2 linked regions of the Coturnix japonica genome follow. The protein of the gene in region 1 binds, or shares a complex with, the protein of each later gene. Links are inferred from orthologs where the notes say so. Each region holds a gene or a part of one and is shown in the gene's direction. Other genes may lie near its edges.

Region 1 (3,651 bases):
GCTTTTTTCCAGCTTCTTTCATTTACAGCCAGTTACTACCATTTCACTATTATCTTGTTGGTGAAACAATCTGATTATTTGGTTGCCATTAAGTTAATGTCAGTGGGGGATGGAAGCAAATTAGGCTATCTGTAGCAGTGAGTTGTTTTGTTTTGTTAGGGATAGGAACTCAAGTTGACGTTTCAGATGTTCTTGGTACTGACCTGACTTTGTTTCCATTTTGGTTCTGTTTGGAAGAAAATTCAGATACTGAGAAGCATTTTCTTGCCAATTCTTTTATCTTTCATTTTTGATATATTTAGAGATATGCAGGTCCTTGGTTTAGGAAACATGTTCTGGAACACTAAAGTGCTCTGTGTTCTCTATCCTTGATAAACTTTCCAGACTAAATAAGCCTTACGCAAACTCAAAGTTGGGACAGCTTTGAAATATTTAAGTACTTAAATATGAAAGATGACGGATGGATTTATTCATGTCTGTAAATGAGATGAACTGATAGCCTTCACCTAAAGAAGAGCTGGTTGGTGCTCACTTCTAAACTAAGGTTACATGCTTTTCTTGCAGAATTTATGAAGTTTCAATGCTCTTTCCACTTCCAAAAGAAAATTCTTTTGTGTACTTTCTCTTCTTTGCTGCTTTTATTTCTTTACCTTTTCATTTACAGACCTGTACGGCCCTAACTCTCCAGAAGTGCTTTCAGTTGTGTCTTCTACTGCTTTCATTGTAATTGCTGTAGTGGTTAGAGCAGCTCCTCTGGAAGCCACTATTTTGTACCATTGTACTGACTGGGTGACACACTGAGCCTTTATCTATCCACTTCTTTTTTTTATTGTTTATTTTTCTTCCCCTAAGTCATGTCAGCATGGTTTACCTTGCCTACTCTGCTCAGCTATTTTGCTAGAGGTAAAAGTGAATCTGATCTCTTTCCCCATCCTTCCATTTGAGTGGACAGACTAAAGTCCAGAACCACTGTTTTGAGCAACTTCTAGGAGTGCCAGAGTGTAGGGGATCCATCACATTGCCAGTAGGCTCCTTCCTGGTGCGTGTTTTCTTCTTTGTTCTTGGTTTTTTTTATTATTTGGTCATTGATTCTGTTTTTGCAGGTGGCCGTGGACAACGAAATGGAACTTCTGGGATGGATCAACCTTGGAAGAAAAGTGGGAAAAACAGGAAATCAAAGCGCATTAAACCACAGGAGTCTTCAGACAGTACAACTTCTGGAACTAAATTCCCCCATCGCTTTCCTCTTCAGGGTTTAAATACTACTGCTTGGTCACCATCAGACACTTCACAAGCAAGCTATTCAGCGATGTCTTTTCCAACTGTTATGCCTGCATATCCACTTCCTGTTTTTCCAGCAGCAGCAGGGACTGTGCCACCAGCTCCTGAGACTTCAGTCTCTGGATTTAATCAGCTGCCAGACTCGGGAAATACTTGCCCTATGCAACCGTCCCAGTTTTCTGCCCCCCTCATGACGCCTGTTGTAGCTCTTGTGCTCCCCAACTATGTCTACCCAGAAATGAACAATAGCTTACCTCAAACACTTTACCACAGCCAAGCCAATTTTCCTACCCATCCTGCTTTCCCTTCACAGACAGTATTTCCAGCGCAGCCTCCTTTCACTACCCCCAGCCCTTTCCCACAACAGGCGTTTTTTCCAACGCAACCATTCCATTATAATCCACCAGCAGAAATTGAAAAGATTCCTGTCACAGAGACACGAAATGAGCCATCCCGTTCCTGCACTCCACAGTCAGTGGGTCCTCAAGACCAGGCTTCGCCGCCTTTATTCCAGTCAAGGTGTAGTTCTCCTCTGAATCTTCTACAGTTAGAAGAAAACACAAAAACTGTGGAAAGTGGAGCTCCTGCGGGTTTGCACGGAGCTTTAAATGAGGAAGGAGCCATAAACAAAATCATGACAACTGATGATGGTAGTGGAAAGGGATCCCTACCAGTAAGTATGTTTGTGTTCTTCTTGGGTATGTGTGTTTTCCATTTAAAATCTTGGCACTCTAAGAATATTTAAGGTGTTAAAATGTAGAGATACCCATAGTGGGTCTTTTTCCCTCTTCTGTTTTCTTGTCTCTACTTTATCATTTTCAAAACTCTCTTGTGGACCTTAAATTTTAATATCTGGTCTGCAGTCTCTAGAGACGGAGTCACTATTGCAGTTAGTAAACTCAGGTTTTGGTAGACTGTATAAATGTGGAATCAAATTGTTTGAATAATGCTAACTTTTAAAGTTGAAGGCAGCCTTATTGTTCTCCTGAAGTTACCCCAGGAAACTTGAAAATGAATCCCGAATTAGTTTTGTTATGCAGCTTTTAATGTGAGTGCTAATGCATTCATTGAGAAGCACTGAAATAGATTGTAAATCATTTGTTCACTTTTTTTTAATGTTTAGCAAAAACTTTTTGGGTAGTAAATTTCTGAGAAGGGAGTGAGGGAGATGCAACCTGTAACTGAGGTCTTGAAAGAAGCTGATATAAAGGAAATTATCTTTTTATTTTGACTACTTGTTTGCAAACAAAGTATGAGGTATTGCCTGCGGACACTGTTTATTTTTCTTGGTGCACTGTGCCCTAAAGCTCCGTACAGAGCTATGTGATAATGTCAGCTTCTTTTCCTGGCTCATTTAGATTTGTTGGATCAATTAAACTAATAATCTGACAAACCTCAGGTGGAGTGCTGTGTCTAAGGATTTCTATGATGATGGTATAGACTGTTACATTACTGTTGCATAAGGATTCTGCATAGTGTCTTTCCGAATGCTGAGTCACTGATGGGATGCAACCTAAGTCTTCTAGAATGTCCTCCTACCTCCTGCTTTTCTTCTTATGTGGGCTGTAACTGTTCACTATAACTGACAGCGTATACAGAGTACAATTTGAGTTCCATGCTGTTCAAAGGAAAGCAGACATTGGAAGGTGTGGCTCTTACTGGCATGTGAGATCAAACATGCTCCAAGTAATCAGTCATAGAGCGCAATTAGTGCTGATGCCAACAGCTGATTAAATGACTTTGTTATATAGTTTGTCGTGGGCATGTGCCGACATTAGAAACTGTGGAGGTGGAAGGTAAAACGTACAAACATGCTTGCTCCTCACTCTGACAAACTTAGTTGCTCAGTTTCCAGATGATTTATTTTACCTAATAATCTTGATATTGATTCTTAAGGGGGATGATCAGAGGGGGAGCAGAAAGGAATATAATATATCTGCCTTTCTAGTGAAACTTCCAAACTTTATTGACATTATGCAAAAGCTTACTGTATTCTGTTGTGGCACGCTTGGTGTCTCATGATCTTGAGAACAAGTGTATGTGTATATAATATACACACATTATATTTAATGTATATATGTACATAAATAAAGCACCTTAGATTTGTGCATGGTAAAGAAGTGCATCTGTGATGGTCTGAGACTTACTGCGTGCTCTGAAATGTTGCTACTGGATTAAAGTAAGCTTGATAACAAAAAATACCAACAATTTTGACGGGAAATCCTTTGGAATTCTCTCAGGAGGCTATTTCCCATTGTTCGGAAACCTGCAAAATATTACTTTCTGTAATTTCATCATCACTTGTTTGAACATGAAGGCAAAGCAGGCATTTGTTCAGGAAAGCACTGAGGATATATCTGAAGCTTGTTC
Region 2 (3,651 bases), on another chromosome or scaffold:
ATGGTCTTATAAGCTGTGTTTGTCATATAGATTGTACTTTAGGGATGGTTGACAGAAGTAGTGCCCCCAAAGCCTGCTGTGACCCAGCTGCAGAAAAGAAAAGGTAAACTTGAGTCAGCACCCTCCTGCTGTATGTTATCCTGATGTATATTTGTGGGAGGAGCGCAGTCTTGGGGAGGGGAATAGTGTATGCAGATCAGAAAGTGCACCAGTGTTTATTTTGGCTTCTGCAGGTTAGCACGTGACAAAACTTATGTGCTTCTTTCAGCCTTTTTAGAGACTTTGTTATTTTTATCTTTTGATCTGCAAACAAGTCTAAGCTATTAGTAGCCCATGCCCTCCTTATTTTAGTTCAAGGACTGGGTACTTGCAAGATAAGTGAAACTGTGTGGGAGAAATATACCCATTCTGATCAAAGAAACAAAGAAGTAGTCAGTAGGGTCTGAGGTTTGGACATATGGTTGTGAGATCAGCCAGGCCTGGGGGTTGGTACAATCTCTTCTGACTGGGCAGGCAGTTCAGTGGATATCTTACATGTGCTCTTAACAGAGTTGGTGGGTTTTTTGTTTTCTTTTTCATTCTACTACAAGGTAAATGTGTGGCTTTCGTGGGAATTCAGGCCTCTCCTGAGCTGATAAACTGAGCAGCAAATACTGGATAAATGAATGGCAGCAGCTTGTGCTTTGCTCTCAGCTGTTGTGAGGAGCTGACACATGTGGTAATGCAGCACTTACGTCCAATTAATTTCTGCTCTTGCTGCTGGGAGCTGAGCTGTGTTGTTGGTAACAGTTGCTGCAGTGGCACTGTGTGCATGGGTACAGTGAGGCAGGCAGATGAAGTGTACACATTAGCTCTGCTTTAAACTTCATAGTAATATAGGATTTTTGTCACCTGCTGTGGTACATACGTGTTGTAGTTCTCTTTCCTTCCTAATAGTAATTTTACGATTCAAGGCAAGCTTATATGGTTGTTTTCTGCTTCTAAACTCCCATCCCAGTCTTGAGTCTTTGTTTTTAAATGATCATTAATGAACTAATAATGTCTGTTCCTTGTGCAGTGCTTGTGTTTCTGATGCCTCTTAGGTCTGGTTCTGAGATGGAAGAGACCATCCTGTGCTTACAGAAGTGACTCACTGTCTCACTTGGAGACTGGTTCACATCTTGCTTGTGTGCAGGTTTTTTTAAGTGTCTCTATAGATTTCTGGCTGTGTTTGACTGGAGTGTTTGCTAAACAAATCTGTGGGCTGCTGCTCTGTTTGATGGATGCCTCCTGAGGGTCACTGTGGAAACCATTAAGCCTCTTCTCATAGGATTCATTTTCTGAGGAAAACTAGGCCATAGTCTTTGAGAGGAAACTATGCAGTGCCAAAGCCTGGAAGAGGCAGAGAGCTATTTCATAAGGCCTTTGTGAGAGATCTGCTGCAGGTGTGAGATAAAAAATGGATTTATGGATCCGCTAGGCTGAATAGAAGTTCTACCTTTGGAGAGTTAATCATTTCAATCTGAATTGTAGTATCATACATTACTTTTTGGAGCAGAGATGTCTGCTAAGTTTGTCCTTTTCCCAATACCACATTTCTTGCTTTTGGCTTGGGCAGTGGTCTTCTATTGTACAATGGCTTTATAGGGAGACATGGGAAAAGAATTAAGTGTATTCTCTTTAGTTGATAGTAGTCTGCATGCAATCCTTGCTCAGAAGTTTATATTTTTACATTGAAAGATTTCTCTGAAATCCTCTTTTTGCAAATACTGGAATGGGATGGCAGGGTTTCTTTTGGATACAACCAAACAAGGTGGTGTTAGGTCAAGTTGTAAGCTAAGAACATAAATAGAGAAGAACTCCAGCCTCCTTTCGTGTGGTTCAAATCCAGCTTTTAGGAATTTGCACAGCATTTGCCAGAGCTGATAAAATTATTGGTTCTTCCGTTACCCCAATGACAGACTGCTGTTCTCCACAGGAAGCTTCCCTAAGTTCCCAGGAGCTGACAGTAGCAATTACAACTTCAATGATTTAGTAATAGTGCTGGTTAAAAAGGTTTTCTTTTTGGCACCTGCTTGTATTATTTCTTACAGGAATGGGGAGTCACTCGTCTCACCTTTGAATACGACTCGGAACCATTTGGCAAGGAGAGAGATGCAGCTATTATCAAACTGGCCAAGGAGGCTGGTGTGGAAGTGGTCATTGAGAACTCCCACACGCTCTACGACCTGGACAGGTAAGGGCAAAGTGCTGCCTCAGCTGGGATTGCTGTGGCTGGGAAGACCTCGGTCTCCTCATTTACTTCGATTACTGTATGTTGATCTCTGTCATCCCTTGTGAGCTTGGGAGGTGTCACCAGGATTACTCTGCGCACTCCAGCTTTTGATTAGAGTGCGTCAATATGCAGACAGTGACGTGAATGTATAGAAAGGTGTTGCCTCAGGCTAACTAATCTGTACTTTACTGTCATTTAAGTTGCTCCGCTATGTCCTATTGATTGATTTTCTTGGGCATGACCTGTCTGTGTGGACTGCTTTTTTTTACTTCACTGTATTAAAGGTGTCCGAGTTACTGTCTCAAACAGAGACAATAAAGGCAGGGCTTTAACAGATGGATGTGCCAGGACAACTGGAAGAAGTAGAACAAGGTAGATTGGGGCAAACTTACCTTCTTCTAAAATCTGAAGGCCTTGTCTTTATTGTGCATTTGTTATGGCAAAGTCTTTCCTATATCTTGAGGTTGGTTTATTTATATGTAGGTAAGGTTGGCTTAAGACAGTTTTTCAGCTACGACTATACAATATGCTTGACTTGAACCATGTTTCAGTGTTATTCTTATAGGCTGGTTTCCTTTTCTTTTTTTCCTTCAGATGACTCGTATCAGTAATGTTGATTGTAGTTTTTCTCCTTTAAATCTTTAGTATATGTAACTTCCTGTGTGAAAGAGCACTGCAGTTTAGCATGTGCTATGTGGAAATGTTTACACGTGGGGTAGGGGAGTTCTTCACCTCTCTCATAAGGAGGAACTCCTCTCTACCTTTCTTGCATTAGAAGATGCTATGAACACTTAATTTATCCTCACTTCTTCAGCACCCCTCACACCCTTAATTCTGTCCTCCTTGTCTTTTCCCACTTGGAGAGTCTTAGCTTATTTACATTTTCAGTTGAAGTCTGTTCTGCAGCTGTTCTGATATCTTTTTTGTTGTCTTACTTTGTATTTCTGTGTGCTTATGGGGTGATATGGAGGGTGAAGAACTGTAGCTGGTGTTCAAGGTGTAGGAGCAACACGCATTCACTTAGTGCTGTAATATCCTTCTTTCAACAGTCACCAGTGTTTTTGTTAGTTTGCTTTTCTGACTGTCATTGGGCTGATGTTTGTGAGAATCTTATCAGGTGCCTTCCAAAACTCCTGGTGGAATCTGTTAGCCAGATATGCCCTGCTCCTGAGATTAATATGGCTAATAGACATTACAACTTCCCATTACCAAGGCCAGTTTAACCCTCCAGCATATTGTACATAGCCATTTGTTCACCGGTCCTATTAGTATTTTCTACTAATCTGCCCACCAGATCAAGCTTTCTGTTCAGTAGTCCCTCTGATGCCCTGAAGTGCTTTTCAAATCTCACTTCATGCTCACTTTCTTGCCTCCTCACTATGTGGACAGTTTTAAGG

What was found. Proteins that work in one complex are often made in the same cells at the same time.
Region 2: the proteins of PER2 (region 1) and CRY2 are in contact, whole or in part, in a crystal structure (PDB 4U8H), measured with the Mus musculus proteins. The link is inferred for Coturnix japonica from reciprocal best matches to the Homo sapiens genes PER2 and CRY2. Residues at the interface, in NP_035196.2 of Mus musculus: Tyr1132, Leu1134, Gln1135, Asp1136, Pro1137, Trp1139, Leu1140, Met1142, Ala1143, Asn1144, Thr1145, Ile1149, Met1150, Met1151, Thr1152, Tyr1153, Gln1154, Leu1155, Arg1158, Asp1159, Leu1160, Val1163, Leu1164, Asp1167, Gln1168, Lys1170, Leu1171, Leu1174, Gln1175, Ser1177; in NP_034093.1 of Mus musculus: Trp58, Ser63, Ser64, Val65, Lys163, Leu166, Thr167, Lys169, Arg170, Glu215, Leu216, Gly217, Phe218, Asn330, Pro331, Ile332, Cys333, Ile334, Gln335, Ile336, Pro337, Asp339, Asn341, Pro342, Glu343, Leu345, Ala346, Lys347, Ala349, Glu350.

Annotation. Positions count from the first base shown.
Region 1 is NC_029524.1:4,261,509-4,265,159, reverse strand, and holds part of PER2 (period circadian protein homolog 2), read left to right. Parts: intron 1-1,103; coding exon 1,104-1,954; intron 1,955-3,651. UniProt on the Homo sapiens protein: Transcriptional repressor which forms a core component of the circadian clock.
Region 2 is NC_029520.1:21,417,866-21,421,516, reverse strand, and holds part of CRY2 (cryptochrome-2), read left to right. Parts: intron 1-2,072; coding exon 2,073-2,215; intron 2,216-3,651. UniProt on the Homo sapiens protein: Transcriptional repressor which forms a core component of the circadian clock.